Callithrix jacchus: one gene and its partners. The protein of the gene in region 3 binds, or shares a complex with, the protein of the main gene of each other region. Links are inferred from orthologs where the notes say so. Each region holds a gene or a part of one and is shown on either strand. Other genes may lie near its edges. The genes, in order: UBE2J1, FAM8A1, OS9 and HERPUD1.

Region 1 (4,605 bases), on a different chromosome or scaffold from region 3:
CTACACAACAGCTCTAGCCACAATCACAGGTCCATTCCAAAAAATTCATAAAAGAAAAAGTTTCCCACCTATGAAATGAACAGGTTTACTATCCACATGCTAGTGCACTGGCCCTTAACCAGTTATCTGTATTGTCTTCATTTAATCTTTCCACTCATACATCAAAGACAACCCCACATCAGATAAAAAGTAAAGGATTATATCCCTCACACTGTGTGGTGGCTTTTGTTTGGTTGGTTGGCTGGTGTTTTATGTGCGTGTGTGTGTGTGTGCACGCACCCTGCCATACACAGGAGATTGGAATTTTCAGTTGTTTTCCTTCATATAGGCATTACTCTAAAAAATACCACAGGACTGAGAATAAAGCAAAGGAAGGATTTTCAGGATGCCTCCCAGCATTTTCAGTAAGTCTCATATCTCACCTAATTCAACTTCTCTATGAATTCCAAATAATCAACACACTAACAAAAATAGATTTTTAAGAAGCATTGTGGCCGGGCGCGGTGGCTCACGCCTGTAATCCCAGCACTTTGGGAGGCCAAGGCAGGTGGATCACAAGGTCAAGAGATCGAGACCATCCTGGCCAACATGGTGAAACCCCGTCTCTACTAAAAATACAAAAATTAGCTGGGCATGGTGGTGCGTGCCTGTAGTCCCAGCTGCTCAGGGGGCTGAGGCAGGAGAATTGCTTGAACCCAGGAGGCGGAGGTTGCAGTGAGCTGAGGTCACGCCACTGCACTCCAGTCTGGGGCCTGGTGAGGAAGCAAGACTCTGTCTCCAGAAAAAAAAAAAAAAAGAAAAGTAGCATTGTTTTTTAAATCAGCAACACTATCTTTGAGGAAATAAAACCAAAAAAAGGAAGCAATTTATGACAAAGCTAGAAGCATGTCAGCCAAAGCTCAGCCAGTGGATGATAGTTCGCATACTTTGGAAATGTACAAAATTCTGGAGAATTTTAAAAGCTTATCATTGTAGTATTAAGTCTAACCTATTGAAATTGAGTGATGTTTTCTGACAACAATCTCTTGGGTTCCACCAGTTCTCCATTCCAAACTGCACTACTACTCACATGTGGATTATCCTCTGGACCTTTCACTAAGCACCTCTGCTGTCCTAAGGAACCCTGTGAGCAGGGAGCCACCAGATGTTTCTACCCAAATAGTACTAGTTAAATCTACCACAATGTAAATAATTCAATCATACATTAAGCTTTTCTTTCTTCCCCTCTTTCTCTTTGGTCTTTTCTTCCCCCTACCTCCACTCCAGGTTTTTGTTTTGTTTTGTTTTTTTGAGATGGAGTCTTGCTCTGTCGCCCATACTGGAGTGCAATCGCGATCTTGGCTCACTGCAACCTCCACCTCCCAGACTCAAGCCATCTGGGACTACAGGAGTGTGCCACCACCATGCCCGGCTAATTTCTGTATTTTTAGTAGAGACAGGGTTTCCCCATGTTGATCAAGCTGGTCTCGAACTCCAGACCTCAAGTAATTTGTCCCCCACCCCCACAAGCCTCCCAAATGCTGCGATTACAGGCACGTGCCACCATGCCAGGTCTTCATATTTTTTAAGGAGTCAGTGGCCCCTAAAATGTTATGACCAAATCTACACACTTGGTCACCTAAGGACATTTCTAAGCCTGGCAGCACTCAAGCTAACAAAGCTCCCTCAAATCAATATCCTCAGGCTTTTCTGGGATTTTTGCATATTCTGAAACCTTACAAAAACCCCCAGATTCACAATGTCAACTCTTTCCATAAGGATGCTAATTTTGCTAATTCCTACTGAGAAACAGCTTTTTTTGGAAGGAAATTTTAAGCAAAAGCAAGAGTCGGTGAAATCATCATTAATATCCTAGAGTTTGCAGAGTTAACTGTGGAGTTTCTTCCTCCTGGCAAAATTTACCAAGGTACAGATAGAAAAAAATACCATTTAGACGATCCAATGATTCATTTCAAGCCTGTTGTATTAAGCTGAGAACGCTAGTTACTTATCTTTATTATGCACCAGAAAGTAATTAAAGGCTAGGATTGCTGGGACTGCTTGTGTAAATGAAGCAGGATCATTAAATGCAGGAAAAGAATCTCTACGACTGAATATAGATATATTTCATATTAGCCAGTATGGCAAAAATCAAGGTTAGTTCCCATGTACAGGGTTCAACCAGGTATTTTTTGTTTGTTTTGTTTTGTTTTAGTTCTATAGTTAACTGGCTTAGTTACAGAACATTTCCTTTATGTCTGCAATTCTATTCGGCCCAGGTGCCGCAAGTAAGATATTTAAACGACCAACCCCTCAAATGTGAGTAATGCAGCCGGCTAACAGAAGTCCAGTGGCAGTGACCGGGAGGGGATAGCGACGGTGTTCCCGATGCAGGTACAGCAAGGGGTTGTTGACTGTCGCCCACCGACATCACCTTTACACCTGTTCTTAGGGATGAGTTTCTGACCCAGCTCTACGGGACGGGGCGAAGATGGGAAAAGGGAGAGGCCGGGTGCTGCGGCGCGCTAGCCTGCCCGAGGATTAGCAGCGGGCGTTCACCGGGCCACCCCGCCCTGCGGCCTGCACTTCCCGGGCAGGCGGCGGTCTCGCGTAGAGCGCGACACCGGGAGCGGAGCCATGAGTGGCGCCAAACGCTAGGGGACCGCGGCGACCGCCCCGGGGTCCAGGTCACTCTGCCCTCTTCGCCCGGGGGCCCCAGCCTCGCTCACCAGGACTCTTCAGGTTGTAGCGGGTCTCCATGGCGGGTCGCTGGCCTGGCTCCGGCCTCCCGGGCCGCTGCCCGGGTCTCAGCACGGCTCAGGCTGACGCGGTCTGGCCGAGGAGCCTCCGCAGACGCCGCCCAGTCCAGCCCGGACTGCAGGCGGGGTGACGAGGCCGAGTGCGGGCGAGGTGCTGGCTTCGCGATGGCGCCGCCTCCTCCGCTGCACCCCCCGCCTCCCTGAGAGCCGGGCCGGCGCCGGCCGGGCGTCGCTGAACCGGGCGACCGGGCCGGAGATCAGCCTCCTCGGGTAGCCGCAGGCCCAGCCCCGCCGCGGCCGCGGGGCTTGCGTCACCTGCCCTCGTCCGGGTTTTGTGAAGTTGCCTGACGTGGCAGCAGCTTCGTGGCGGTCGGTCACTCCCCAGTCGCCGCCGGCCCCGTAAAGCCGGCTTGGGATCTGCAGGAGCGAGCAGTGTCTTTGTCCCCTCGCCCCGGCCCCCGGAAGCCGAACTTCCCTCTGGCCCTCCGGGGTCCCCAGGCGCTAGGAGCGCCGGCCCTACCCGTTGCAGGAGAGGTCCGGGACCCCCGGGCCCTCGAGAGCTCGGAGGGGGCGCCGGGCTCCGGCTGCAAAGCTGTTCACGCGCGGTCCCGCGGGGTCTGGGAAGGGCTTTGTTTATAGATCCAGTTGCTGTGGCGGGGCAGGGGTGCGGTGGTGGGGGGCGCGGCGAGAAACAGGGGTTAAGTGAGGGGGAGAGGGGAAAGCCAGTGGCGAGGGAATGGAGGAGGATTTTTTTTCCCCCTGTTCAGTCGGAGTCTCGCTCTGTCGCCCAGGCTAGAGTGCAGTGGCGCGATCTTGGCTCATTGCAGCCTCTACCTCCCAGGCTCAAGCGATTCTCCCACCTCAGCCTCTAGAGCGCTGGGACCACAGGTGTGCGCCACCACGCCCGGGTAATTTTTTGTATTTTTGATAGAGACAGGTTTTCACCATGTTGGCCAGGCTAGTCTCTAACTCCTGACCTCAGATTATCTGCCCTTCTCGGCCCCCCAAAGTGCTGGGATTATAGGCGTGAGCCACTGCACTAATCAGAGTTGTATATTAATAATTTTTTTCGAGTAGTGTGTTAGGTGCAAGACACTGTTTTAGGCGTTGCAGAAGTTTGTTTGCTTTTGATTTGTTTAGATTTAAAAGCCGTCAAAAAAAAAGGAATTACATTGAATTGAGAGAAAGCATACAAATATGAAAGATTAAACTTCAAAGAACACACTTCTTGCTTCAGTGTCAAATGTGTGGGATTGAGAGAGGACTATGAGTTCAAAAGACTTGAGAAGGAGTAGGAACCTTAGGACCGGAAAGGAGGGAGGGAATGGGAAGGTGGGGAGGATAGAGAGGATTAATCAGGTTGGGCAAGTGTTATTCTGTTATTTAAAGATACAAAACTCTTAAATTTGATTTGTTTTCTGTTGTTAAATAATCTAAATCCGTGAGTTTCTTAGTGAAATTGGGAGGAAAAAAGTGAAGGATATCTAAAATTAGATGGTATCTTTTAAACCATTCCCCATGTTGTTTTTTGTATAGTAAACTGATAATCTGATTGGCTGAGATATGCGAACAAAACCAAACTTCAGTGCTGCTTCATTCATTCATTGTGTTGGATCTTCGAATTAGCTACCACTTGACATCCTCGCCTGCCACAGCTCCATAAAAGCCCTTAATTTGTGCAATAGGCCCTACCACAGTAAGGCCTGCGAAGCAGATGCTGTATATAATGAGTTCCTATTTGATAGGGGAGTACTAGAAGCCTTTTGCTATTCAGCCTCCAGGTCCATCAATCTGTGGATGCAGTTGTCCTCTGGGGCTCTCCTTTAGCCACTGCCACCTCCTTTGCTCTCTGGGGCTCTTCTCCCAC
Region 2 (4,436 bases), on a different chromosome or scaffold from region 3:
CAGATTGCCTCAGCTCAGGAGTTTGTGACAAGCCTGGGCAACACCGTGAAACCCAGTCTCTACTAAAATAAATACAAAAAATTAGCCAGGCATGGTGGCATGAACCTGTAGTGGCCAGCTACTTGGGAGGCTCAGGCAAGAGAATTGCTTGAACCCGGGAGACAGATGTTGCAGTGAGCCAAGATCCCACCATGGCACTCCAACCTGGGCAACAGAGCGAGACTCTTGTCTCAAAAAAAAAAAAAGTTGAATAAAATCAAACCAGGTTTGGAGGCTCTTTTTACCTATTTTTGATAGGCGAGATTCCCACACATCTTACAGAATTCAGTAGAAAATTTTAGTTATTTCTTAAATCAACAAGAAAACCATAAATCTGACAAAGCCCTCATAAAGAAATCATGAGACTGACAAGCTCATTATCCATATAGTCTCGTGCAGACAAACAGAATTTAACAAAACAATAGTTTTAAACAGTAGAAATAAAAACCTTTCTGCAAATGTCCTCAACTTACTTTATCCCACTGAGGTGCATAATACTTAAGACAATGGTTGCTTTTATAAAGAAGAGAATAAAGAAATCCACCATCTCTGCCATAAATCTGTGAGCCAAGGAGGGAATAACATATTCTCTGCCTGTAAATTTAAAAAAAAAAAAAAAAGAAGTTAGGAAAATCCAATCATTTCACATAAGCCTTGGAACACAAGCCATATAATGAATTGGTAAAGTCAAGGTACAACTTAATAAGAAATATAGCCTTGCAGCAACTATTGATATTGATTCCACCAAGAATCCATGTTATTAGAGTAACAGTACCCCACTATTTACTGAACTTAAAGTTTGCTTTCCTAACTTTAACGTTTAAAATTTGATTTCACACAGCTGGATGCAGTGACTCACATCTGTAATACCAGTACTTTGGGAGGCCAAGGCAGGCAGATTGCTCGAAGCCAGGAGTTCGAGACTGGTCTGGCCCTGGCCAACATGGCGAAACCCCGTCTCAACAAAATATTAAAAAATAAGCCGGGCATGATGGCACATGCCTATATTCCCAGCTACTAGGGAAGCTGAGGTGGCAGGATGGCTTGAACCTGGTAGGCGGAGGTTGCAGCGAGCCAAGATCGCGCCACTGCACTATCCAGCCTGGGCGATAGAGCCAAACCTCGTCCTCCACACCTCCTCCCCCCGCCCCCAGAAGTGATTTAACAGACAAATCTGATTCGAGTACCCAATACATTTCACTAAGAACTCTACTGAGAATCCGAGTGATCACATCTAAGTGACTGAAAATTGATTTTAGTACAAATCAAGGTTATACATTAGCAATTAGTATAAAGTAAATCCCTGTAACCTCTCCTGTGTGTTTAGTTTGTTTTGCTTTCTCTAAAATAAACCCAATGAATATCAATCTGTCATGCTAAATTCTGCTGGGATAAGAGGCATCACGTAGTTCTTGTCCCTTCTATCTGTGGCTAAATAAAATAAACGAAAAGTGTAATAGCTTAAATAGTAAACTAATTCAAAATATTCTAGTTCACACACAGAAGCAAAAACAATTACACAATGTACAAGATCAATAAGCCAGGGCTTCTCGATCAAATGAAGTGAAGCTTTGACCCAATCAAAGCTTCGTAACTCCACTGGTATCCATGTCAATCTCCTTTTATGTCCGTTCAGTTCCACTGTCCTAAGTAGCCAATGTCTGAATAATTTCCAGCATTAACAGTTGAGCACCTCCAAAAGTGAGTTTGCCATCTGCGAGTTTAGCTTTGGACCTCACTCTGCACAGCGTGAAAACCAAAGGAAGAGCAATTTTTTTCACGTAGAAACAACTAGTCCCCATGAGTAGGGGAATCAATTCGGAGTGCCAGGTCTAAAGGAAGAAGAAACTGTTGCCTCCTTGTACATTTTGGGGATTTAGGGCCTGGACAAACGATAGCTAGTGCACGGGCAGGATCGCTAATTGGAGTAGCAGCAGCAGCAGTGACAGGTCTAAAAAGCGTGCCAGCTCTACCCACAGGCCCCTGAAGACCCTTCTACGCCCAGCCTCCTGCTCGCTGGTCTCACCTGCCTGCTGCCTGGTCTCGCTCGGGCTTCGAGAAGGGGCTGCAGATCCTACCCTCGTCACTGGAGTGGCCCGGGCCGACGACTGCACTTGAGGAGCCCGGGGTCCCAGGTTCGCGACTGGAGCAGGGGTGCTGAGGCCGGCAGCTGTCCCCGGGTCGGGCCCCGCAGGCCCGGGGCTCACGAAGTAGAAGGGGTTGTAATAGCCCAGCTGCGGGGCCGGCGGCAGCCCCGCGGCCTGGGGGATGGCAGCGCCGCCCGAGGGGAAGCTCTGCGGAGACGGCTGGGGGCTGCAGTAGGCGGGGAGGGCGGCCAGGCCGCTGTGCCAGGTGAGGTAGCCGCAGTAGGACTGCCACAGCCACTCGTGCACTTGCCGGGAGTACTCACGGGCGCTCAGCCGCGCCTGTCTCTCCCGCGGCGCCGCGGCCTCGGGCGCCTCGCAGCCCGCCTGCTCCGGCGGCCCAGCACCGGAGCCGGAGGCCGCCTCCCCACGCTTCCCAAGCTCGCGCGGGGGCTCTGATTCGTAAGCGGCGGCAGCTGCGAGGCCCGGAGCTGTGGGCCGGCCCGGGGCCTGGGGTTCGTCCTGGGGGTCGTCGCGGGGGCATGGGACGGCGGCGGTAGGAGGCCCTCTCAGGGAAGGGACGGGCTCGTGGTCCCCCCCGCCTTCGTCTTGCCCAGGAGGGCGGCCTCGGGCTTCCTCGGGCCCCTCTGCCATCGTCGTCTCAGCAGCACCCACCGCGGTACCTGTCACTGCTCGGTCTTCCTCCCCAAATTACCCCTCCCCAACAGTCCGTCGCCAACGCCGCAGCCGCAGCCGCAGGCGTAGGCGTCAACAATCCCCGGCCGGAAGCGGAAGCCCCGCCCCTCAGGAGCGACGCCCGCCGCCGGGCGGAGCTGGGAAAAGAGGGCGGGGAAGTGCGGCTGCAGTCCCCGGTTCGGTCCCTGGTAGTAGCTGGCTGGTCGGCTGGGACCAGACCGTCGTGGGCCCCCGCCCCCGTGTCGTGGCTTTAAGTCTGTGGCCTGAGGACTCTCTGTATATTCCCGTGGGGTAGGACCTAGGTTGTCCTGGGAGAAACAGCAGAGGGATAAGAAGCATTTCCGAGACGGGTCTCAGGGCCAGCGCGGCGTTTTCTGTTGCAGAACTGCGACTGTTGTTTTGGGCTCCAGGCTAGTGCTTGGTTGCTTGTGTTCATTCCAGTTAACCATTAGTACTCGAGAAGGTGGCACAGAACGCATCTATACCTTTAGAGGATAAGAAATTAAACCAGGCCGGGCGCGGTGGCTCAAGCCTGTAATCCCAGCACTTTGGGAGGCCGAGGCGGGTGGATCACGAGGTCAACAAATTGAGACCATCCTGGTCAACATGGTGAAACCCCGTCTCTACTTAAAAAAAAAAAAAAAAAAAAAAAAAATTAGCTGGTCATGGTGGGGCGTGCCTGTAATCCCAGCTACTCAGGAGGCTGAGGCAGGAGAAATGCCTGAACCCAGGAGGCGGAGGTTGCGGTGAGATCGCGCCATTGCACTCCAGCCTGGGTAACGAGCGAAACTCCGTCTCAAAAAAAAAAAAAGAAAAGAAAGAAAAAGAAATTAAACTAAACCGGTACATATATTAATATATATAATTTTTTTTATAGTTTTGTTTTTGTATCTTGAGACGGAGTCTCACTCTGTCGCCCAGGCTAGAGTGCAGTAGCACCATCTCGGCTCACTGCCAGCCTCTGCCTCCTGGGTTCAAATTGTTCTTCTGTCTCAGCCTTCCGAGTGGCTAAGATTACAGATGTGTGCCGTGACACCTGGGTAATTTTTGTATTTTTAGTAGAGACGGGGTTTCACCATGTTGGTCAGGCTGGTCTCGAACTCCTGACCTCGTGATCCAGCCACCTCGGCCTCCCAAAGTGCTGGAATTACAGGCGTGAGCCACTGTGCCCGTCCAGGAAAGTATATTGAAATGTAAGTAGTGAGGTGCTATATATATATTTCAGAGGAAGGGGAAATTATGCATGGACTAGAGTACTAACAAAAGGCTCTAAAGCCTGGGATATGCTCAGGGCCTTTCCATAACAGAAAATGAAAAGGCACCTAAATTTGAGACTGGATTTGAGGAAAGGCACAGTTCGGCTGGAGTAGAAAGCTTGTGTTTACCACAGTGGAAAGTAAATTTTCATAAATGCAGACTAGCTACAGGATGAGGACAGAATCCAGCTTTTAAATCAGTATAATCCCTCTTCTTTTACATTTGAAAATCTCTGCAGTGATATGTCCGTGTTATCCCCAGCACCATACAAAGGACATATAAGGGCCAATACAGTGGGAATGTTTATTAATGATATTAATGGTGATGCTTCCTCTTTACCCTCTGTAGGTTCACTGAAAA
Region 3 (3,459 bases):
TAGCCGGGCATGGTGGCAGGCACCTGTAATCCCAGCTACTCGGGAGGCTGAGACAGCAAATTGCTTGAACCTGGGAGGCAGAGGTTGCAGTGAACCAAGATCATACCGCTGCACTCCAGCCTGGGCAAACAAAAGGAGACTCTGTCTCAACCAAGAAAAAGAAAGATCAGAGTCTTCCACACTGGGAGAAGGCACATGGGAGGACCCATAGCTGCACTTAGTAGTGAGGAAGAGAGGGAGACACCAGGCCCATGTACCCTTGGCATACTAAGAAACTGGCATATGTGGGCAGCAGCCCTCTCTCTGGGTATGGCCAAAGGTGGAGGTGTTTTTGGGAAATGTTGAAAGGACAGGTGGGTAGCGGTTTGGATGGCAAATGGAACCTGGAGCATGCTGCAGGAGAGACTGCAGCAGAAGGAAGATCCCTGACAGGGTAACTCTGTGGTATACATTTTGGCTTTCAGAGTATAAAGGGGTAGAGGATGGGGAAAGACTTGGTGTAAAAGAAGGGAAGAAACAGAAATGGACAGATGAGAAAAGGAAGACGGCAGTACAGCAAGTGTTTCTTTGAATCCTTGCCAGGCCAGGCTTCATTTAGCTGCCCTGGTCTTATCCTGCATACTCCAGCCCCATTTATAGACCCGGGGAGTGGGGAGCAAAGAACAGAACCAGAGCATGATCTGAAAAGAGCACGAGCCTCCTCCCTGCTGGAGCCCCCACCCCAGAAAAAAGGTTGATGGATCGATGGTCCAGTTCTTTATTTAGAAACCTGATTGTTCAAGAACATGGTAGGTGCTTCACACCTTTTTCGCTGGGATTGTGCTGGAGGTGATGGGTAGCATTCTCCCACTTTCTCAGCAACAGAGGTGAAGGCTCCTCAACTCAGAAGGACAAATGGTGTGTGACAGGGTGGGCAGGGAAAAGGAGAAGGAAATCCCAAGGCAATTCAATAGAAGGGGGTAAAGCGACTCCCAACAGCACTAGGGGCAGGTGGGGGCCTGCTTGCTCAGTGCCTGCTCACTGCCCTGCCCTCCTTGCTCTCTCTACCCCACTCCACTCCAAAGATCCTACTGAATCTCCAGGTACGGAGCAGGGAATATCCTATCATTAGGGGACAATAACAGGAAAAGCCACAGAGGAGAGGAAGCGGATTGAGGGAAAGCCCAGGAGAGCAAACATCACAGGCCCGGTGAGGTCTCCAGGTGGCTGCCAGCAGGGGCAACAGCATTCACCCAGGGCCCCCACACCCACAGAGTCACCCGAGAGGTCCGCAGCTCAGCTCCACTCTGCTGTTTGGCCCTCAGGGGTACCAGGGTAGGGAGGTGGGGAGGAGGCAGGCCAGTCCAGGAAGACTCTGGATTCTGTGGAGGGTCAAGTGCAGTGTTGGTCTCAGAAGTCAAATTCATCCAGGTCCCCTGTGCCCTCCCCACCTTGAGAGCCCCACACCCGGCGGTAATTGCTCTCCAGCTCTTTCTGCCGCTGGCGTTCTTTCTGGGCTTCTTCGGCTCCCGGCACCTGGTGGGAGAGGGTAGAGGTGGGCTGGAGCTGCTGGCTGTTGAGCCCAGGGAAGTCCAGGGCCGGGTGGCTGGGGGAAGGCAGGGAGTGAGAACACTCATGTCCTGAGGGGCTCTCCCTGAGTGGCAGCGCTCGGAGCCACTGGAACCCTAGCCTCATCTTATAGATCAGGAAAAGAACAAAGCAACAGCGTGGCTGGGGCAGGCCTGTGCCTCCACTGCAGGCGGGCTGGGGACGCGAGGGCTGGAGGCCAGGCCTGGGGGTAGAAGCCTCTCACCAAGATATTGAAGAAGATCTCCTTGAGGTTTCTTGTGTCCTCATCAGTCAGCCAGCGTGCACCCTCTTCAGCCCCTTCCGCCCATGGGCGGACAATTTTGATCTCAATTTTCCCTGGAAAGGAGCAGTATGCAGTGAGAGGAGAAGATAGCTAGGAGCCTCAGGGCAGGCCCCCTGCCCCGCTGGTCCCAGCCCCTCCGCTTCCGGCAGCTCGCCCTTCCGACAGCGCTGGGTCCAGCCGCCCTCCAGGGCCCACCTGCAGCTGTGAGTCCCTCCCTCTCCAGCAGCTCCTTCACCAGCCCCTCGATTTGTTTCAGCTGTGGGTTTTCCCGTTTCATCTCGAGGACCGTCAGATCCTGATTAGGGCCTCCGAGACGGAGCTTGGTGACCCGGACCCGGACTCTGTGCTCAGGATCCTCCTCTTAGAGGGGGAGACACACAGGGAAACACAAAGCAGAGGCGTGACTCCAGGGTTGGGGTGTGGGGGTCGCCTCCCCCTAAAACATCAGTTGGCTTTGGCAGCTATTCCATCTCAACATGTATATGAGCCAGGGGTCAAAAAACTGTGTGCCTCCCCCATCCAATTCACCCAGTAGAGCTCCCTCCATCAATTGCAGTCTTCCATCTTCCCACCCTACTCAATAATTCTGCCCATCACCTATAGGAAAACAAATGTTTTCTGAAGCCAAAATTAGGCCACCTGCATCAATTAAGTTTCGTTTGAAGAAGCAGGTTGGAAAAGTGCGGTTTCTTCCTCCATATGTTGGGACTTAATGTTTATAGAGAGAATGGGATGGAAGGTTTGAAACTGAACATTCCATTTGGAATATCTGATGTCCACACCAATAGGACCCTATGAAATGGACACAAGGGGATGCAAGAAGAAGAAGTAATTTAAAGTCTATCCAGGCTATTGACTCATGTGCAGCTGGGCTCTCCTATTCATACCCTGATAGCTAGGACCTCACTCGGTGCAAAGTCCTAAATGTTGACAGGCTACATCCTTCACAGTTGTGTGGTTTTCAGCATATAGACTCACAAACATTCAGTTACTATCTACTGATCAGTCAGTGTGTGCCAGGCAGTGTGCTAGGCACTGGCTGTGCAGGAGCAAACCAGGAAACAAGCAGACATGCTCTAAAAGCTGCTTCCCAGAGGGATGAATAGGAGGTAAGCATGCCAAGGGATGACAGTGGTGCGAAGGAGGCGCAAGTGAGGACAGTGTTCCAGAAAGAGGGGAGAGAATGAACACCCTCAGAAGGCAAGGAACAGGGTCCCCTCAAAGAACAAGACCAGCTGAGGGATGAAAACAATGGACTGGGCTACTCCTTCTTGTCTGACTGCTCTCACCTGTAGGTTGGGGTGATGGGGGAGGCTTTTTGGGGACAACCCTCTTTTTCCTGTGCTTCTTCACCAGCTCTGGACTCTGCTTTTCCTCCAGTCTTTTGATGAGTTTGTTGAGAGTGGATGTCAGAGCCAGCATTGCCCGATCCCGCTCTGACTCCTTCTTCAGCCCATCTGGGTCCAGCTCCTTCTCTGTCTGGAATACCCAAGAGAAGATAAACACTCAAGGGTCTGGGGTATGGAGGTGGCCAGCAGGCCAGGCTCTGTAGGAGAGTCTGCTATTTTGTGACGCAGTTTTGTTCTTGTTGCCCAGGCTGGAGTGCA
Region 4 (4,646 bases), on a different chromosome or scaffold from region 3:
GTCCCTGAGACATTGGTGATCCAACAACAGCTTGCCAGAATAAATTAATCTCTGGTCCTCTGGATGCTGACCATGGAAAGAAAGAGTAACAAAGGTCAGCATTTCACTCCCAGAAGTTCTCAAACACTCAAAATAAACTGTTTTATACAAATAATTTGAATATGTATGTTTCACCCCAGCATCACGGGAAAACACTTTTTCAAAGGCTCCATATACAAAACTTCTATTTAGAAAGTACCTAACTTTAACCGGTCTCTAACATGCAAATAAATACAGAATGGCAAATTATCGGCTGGGTACAGTGGCTCATGCCTATACTCCAAGCACTTTGGGAGGCCAAGGTGGGCAGATCACCTTAGGTCAGGAGTTCGAGACCAGAGTGGCCAACATGGTGAAACCCTGCCTCTACTAAAAATGTAAAAATTAGCTGGGCATGGTGGCTTGCACCTGTAATCCAAGCTACTCGGGAGGCTGAGACAGGGGAATTGTACAGAGAGAGACCCTATATCAAAAAAAAAAAAAAAAAAAAAACAGGTAAATTATCTCCAGTCCAAACCTATGTAGGGCAACATACTTCTTAACTCCCATGTAAACTGATTTTCATAACAACAACAAACAGCGAACAGGGCTCCTACAGCAACTGAGTTTGGTTTCAGGAAAAACTCAGAGTACTCCCAAGGCCAGCCTTCACCAAAATCACCTAGCAGTGCCCCAGAATAATATGAAGCTATTCTAAACTTAAGCCTTTATAGAGGATTTCTTGGCATACAAATGCAGTTATAGAGGAAATGGTGTGTGGGTGACATTATATACAACAACCCTGTGAGATTCAGTATCCCTATTTTAAGGGAGGAAAGTCTGAAAAATTTACTTTTCCAAGGTCATCTGCTGCCAGTGTCACAATTCCAAACCCTCTTCTCCTCCATATCAGCGATTTTAATGCCATAGGGACTGCACATTCTTTTATACAAATCTCATTTTAAAAATCTCTTTGAAACTCCCTCTAAACTGTACTTAAAAATAATGGCCTCAAATATTAACATATAATCTGTCTGTCCATTGGAGATCAGCAACGTGTATACCTACTCTTGCCAGCATAACTGATTATGCAAAACCTGGAATAAAGGTGTTCCTGCCAACAGCTTGAGATAATTAAAGCAAGCTGTTTAAAACAAACAAAGCCAAAAGTCCATCTACTTATCCATATACATCAGGACTTTTTGACACTGTAACTAAACCAAAATATACTGAATGCTGGGTTCACCGTTTTTCTCACTGACAGGTGAGAATGTTAAAGGTACATGCTTATATATGAATTTGTAAAACAGTATCTATTAGATATGTATGGCTCTGTGTTTATTAGAGTTCAACCACTAGAAAAGGCTTGAAAACCACAGCTGCCAGTGATTTTGAATTATTTCCACCCTTTTTAAAGGCCTAACTTGACATTGAGTCTTCACTCAAATGGCTGATTTGAGAAAAAATTAAGCACAACTATTACAAAGTAGGGCTTCTCACAGTATACCATTTTCTACCACAGAAAACAAGTGATAAATATGTTTCAGCCATAATAATTTTTAGACACAAATTTGTATACCTGAGAGATATTTATTTACAATCTTAGGTCTTTAGACTGAAGAGATGGGACTGGCGTCCGTCACCAAAGCAAGCCCTTAAGAAAAACCCTTCTCCGAAACCCTGCCTTTTACCATATGATGCAACCATAGGCAACACCTGCTTCACCAATTTGTGTACCCAACAGACATTCTCATGGCAACACAGCCACCCAGTTTCTGGACGCAGCTCTGGTGAAACCGAAAAGTGTACCAGGGTGAATTCCACAGGACATGGAATACACGCGTACTAAATCAATATGCAAATTTCAAAACAACAACTCAGAAGGAAAACTCACTTCTACCTTCTTGACCACATGGAACAAAAACAGACACAGGTGAGTTCCAACCAAAAGTTGGAACTCGGGTTACACGATCTTTTCCTGCCTGGATGCCCTCTCCTGTGTGATAGAGAATTATGCTCGTGGGCAGTGAAGAACACTGCTGACACTTACATAATATCGGAGCAGAAAGTAAATACAGGAAGGGCCAGCTTACAGCCTCATCACGTGGCGGCCAGGGCAGGCGGTGCTAAGGGTGATGTTGACAGATGCGTCAACCAAAACAAAGCAAAGAAGTCTCGCTAATAATGGAGAGGCTGCCGTCCTAAAACCAGACTGAAGGCGACTACTGCCTGCTTCCCTTCTCAGTCGCACTTGGCCAGAAAGTGCACGGGGCTCCTCCCCGGGACTCGGCAACGGCTGCGCGGTCCAGTGCGACAGGGAGGGGCCCGGCGGAAGGTAGACAGGGAGAAGAGCCACGTCCTGCTTCTGGGTGTGGGCCCTTCCGTCCACAGGGTCTGGGTGCTCCCCAGGTTTCTCAAGCCACCGCTCCGGGTGGCACCTGCCCGCTTCTCTCCCGCGGGGAGGTTGCGTTCACAACCCTCATTTTGCAGCACGGATGTTTTCTTACTCCTAGCCGTTGGGTGCAAGCCCAGTTAGGAACCACCGAGTTGCCTGACCGCTGGGGGGAAGCAGGCTTGGAGGGTGAAACGACTCGCCTAAGGTCAGGCTGCTGATTAGTGACGGTCCCTGGGCAAGAGAGGGGCGCCCGCGGCGGCGGGGCAGGGAAGGGGAGACCACAGCCCTGGGGCACGTGACCGACCCGGCGAACGCAGCCGTCTAGGGAAGGCCGGCGGAGGGGGAGGCCACAGGGCAGGGCAGGCGGACGCGGCGGCACTGGGGGCCACAGCCTCGGGGCGGGAAGTCGGGGCGGCTCTCACCGGACGCTCAGGGTAGACGCGGCTCAGATGGGCCTTGAGGTGGCCAACGCTCCAGCTGCGATCGCCGCTCAGCTCCAAGTCGCGGTGGCGCTGGTTGGGGCTCTTCACCAGGAGCGTGACGGGCTCGGGATCGGGCTCGGACTCCATGGCGGCGGCTGTGTCGGGGCTCAGCTGCGCTCCGAGGTGCCAAGAGGCGGTGTCGCACCCGCCCGCAAACTCCGCAACGACTGTTGGCGTCCCTGGGGCACGCGCCCCACTCTCGGGAGCCTTTTATGGGCTCCCCGCGCTCGGCTCTGCGGACAGAACCCTCTGTGGCTGCTGCCCATTGGCTGAGGCGGAGACACTGTCCCAACGTGGCCCAATCGGCGTCCGGATCCGGGAGGCAGAGGGCGGACCAAGCACGTGGGCGCGGGCTGATGCAACCCGCCGCCGCTGCGTCACCCTCAGGCTCGGCTGCGCCCCGGGAACCTGGGTTTGGCGGCCATGTTTGGGTGCGCTGCGGCCCGCGCTAAGCGCGCGAGGGCTTGGCCTGAGACTTGAGGGGCCCCCAGCTCGGGTGACTGAGGGCGCCCGAGGCAGGGGGTGGGAGCGGTGTATCCCAGCAGACCCCAGTTTAGCAGTCTCCTCAAATTGTTTCCTCACAAAGCTGCACCCCCGCCCTTTTTCACCCCAGGTGCCAGTGTCCACTTCTCCTTTTCCTGCCTCAGGTGGCCCCACATGGAAACCTCCCGGGGAAGCCCGTCCTATAGGGGAAGACTCTCCACCTGACCCTCAAAGAACAGCTGGGCAACCCGTTGTGCAAGTCCACCCAGGAGAACGTCACGTGCTCATAGGAAGGACAACGAAGGAGGGAGGCCTGATCTTCCTTGGGCTGGGAGGATGGAGGCATCCAGGCAGCTGTTGCCAATTTCCGTGGGCTTCTGACTTGCACGTTTGGGACATAACCTATATGATGATTGACAAGTCAGCCACAGCCCTGCTCACACTGGGAGTCCCTGCCAAAAGGGCATCACTTTGTAAGATACACATGCACCCTTTAATTGGGGCCGAGACGAGGAGGGCAGGGTTCTCTGATTCCTGAAGTGGGACCACAAAGGCCTCTCTATTGTAGGCATTCCCTCCTCCTCTGTAGGAAAAAAAAAAAAAAAAAAATCTTGAAAAACAAAACTGACATTGCCCCGGCCCCCTCCTTGTTCCAACCCCCTTGGGACGTCTGTTTTTTCAGGTGTCGTCAGGAGCTTGTCAAGGGCAGGAAGGCAACAGAAGGAGCCTGATCTGGTTGGTGGGCCTGTTCATCTGCTGCAGCTGCCATAACAAAGTGCCACAAACTGGATGGGGTAAGACAGGGTCCCCAGCGCCCCGCCAGGCCACGGACCCCTAAGAGTCCCCGACCTGTTAGGAACCAGGTGGCACCGCAGAAGGTGAGCAAAGCTTCATCTGTATTTACAGCTGCTCCCTATTGCTGCGTTACCACCTGAACTCTGCCTCCTGTTAGATCAGGGGATATTAGATTCTCATAGGAGATGGCCCCTATCGTGAACTGTGCATTCGAGGGAACCAGATTGTGCTCGGTACAAGAATTTACTGACTGGTGATGGGAGTGGAGCTGAGGTGGAGATGCTAGTGCTGGGAGTGGCTGCAGATACGACTAACATTAGCAGAGAGGTTTCACTGCACAGAGACCAACATAAATCAATTGCTTGCCGACTCCCCTCAAAACCCTATCAGTGAGTGGCAAGTGACAAGATGCATCTGGTGGCAGACTTTATAGTGGCCAGTGAGTGGTTGTACTTCAGTTGTACAGCTGCATC

What was found.
Region 1: OS9 (region 3) and UBE2J1 share a complex: the UniProt entries of both Homo sapiens proteins name them as parts of the HRD1 complex. The link is inferred for Callithrix jacchus from reciprocal best matches to the Homo sapiens genes OS9 and UBE2J1.
Region 2: OS9 (region 3) and FAM8A1 share a complex: the UniProt entries of both Homo sapiens proteins name them as parts of the HRD1 complex. The link is inferred for Callithrix jacchus from reciprocal best matches to the Homo sapiens genes OS9 and FAM8A1.
Region 4: OS9 (region 3) and HERPUD1 share a complex: the UniProt entries of both Homo sapiens proteins name them as parts of the HRD1 complex. The link is inferred for Callithrix jacchus from reciprocal best matches to the Homo sapiens genes OS9 and HERPUD1.

The regions. Positions count from the first base shown.
Region 1 is NC_133505.1:95,402,432-95,407,036, forward strand, and holds the start of UBE2J1 (ubiquitin-conjugating enzyme E2 J1), read right to left. Parts: upstream 3,029-4,605; 5' UTR 2,740-3,028; coding exon 2,709-2,739; intron 1-2,708. UniProt on the Homo sapiens protein: Catalyzes the covalent attachment of ubiquitin to other proteins. Functions in the selective degradation of misfolded membrane proteins from the endoplasmic reticulum (ERAD) and is essential for cells to recover from ER stress.
Region 2 is NC_133505.1:13,151,910-13,156,345, forward strand, and holds the start of FAM8A1 (protein FAM8A1), read right to left. Parts: upstream 2,902-4,436; 5' UTR 2,778-2,901; coding exon 2,066-2,777; intron 634-2,065; coding exon 513-633; intron 1-512. UniProt on the Homo sapiens protein: Plays a role in the assembly of the HRD1 complex, a complex involved in the ubiquitin-proteasome-dependent process of ER-associated degradation (ERAD).
Region 3 is NC_133510.1:61,984,452-61,987,910, forward strand, and holds the end of OS9 (protein OS-9), read right to left. Parts: intron 3,332-3,459; coding exon 3,142-3,331; intron 2,213-3,141; coding exon 2,048-2,212; intron 1,906-2,047; coding exon 1,793-1,905; intron 1,516-1,792; coding exon 1,390-1,515; 3' UTR 744-1,389; downstream 1-743. UniProt on the Homo sapiens protein: Lectin component of the HRD1 complex, which functions in endoplasmic reticulum (ER) quality control and ER-associated degradation (ERAD).
Region 4 is NC_133521.1:14,806,625-14,811,270, reverse strand, and holds the start of HERPUD1 (homocysteine-responsive endoplasmic reticulum-resident ubiquitin-like domain member 1 protein), read right to left. Parts: upstream 2,983-4,646; coding exon 2,836-2,982; intron 67-2,835; coding exon 1-66. Other genes in the region: uncharacterized protein LOC118149719, read left to right, coding at 2,981-3,851, 4,061-4,149. UniProt on the Homo sapiens protein: Component of the endoplasmic reticulum quality control (ERQC) system also called ER-associated degradation (ERAD) involved in ubiquitin-dependent degradation of misfolded endoplasmic reticulum proteins.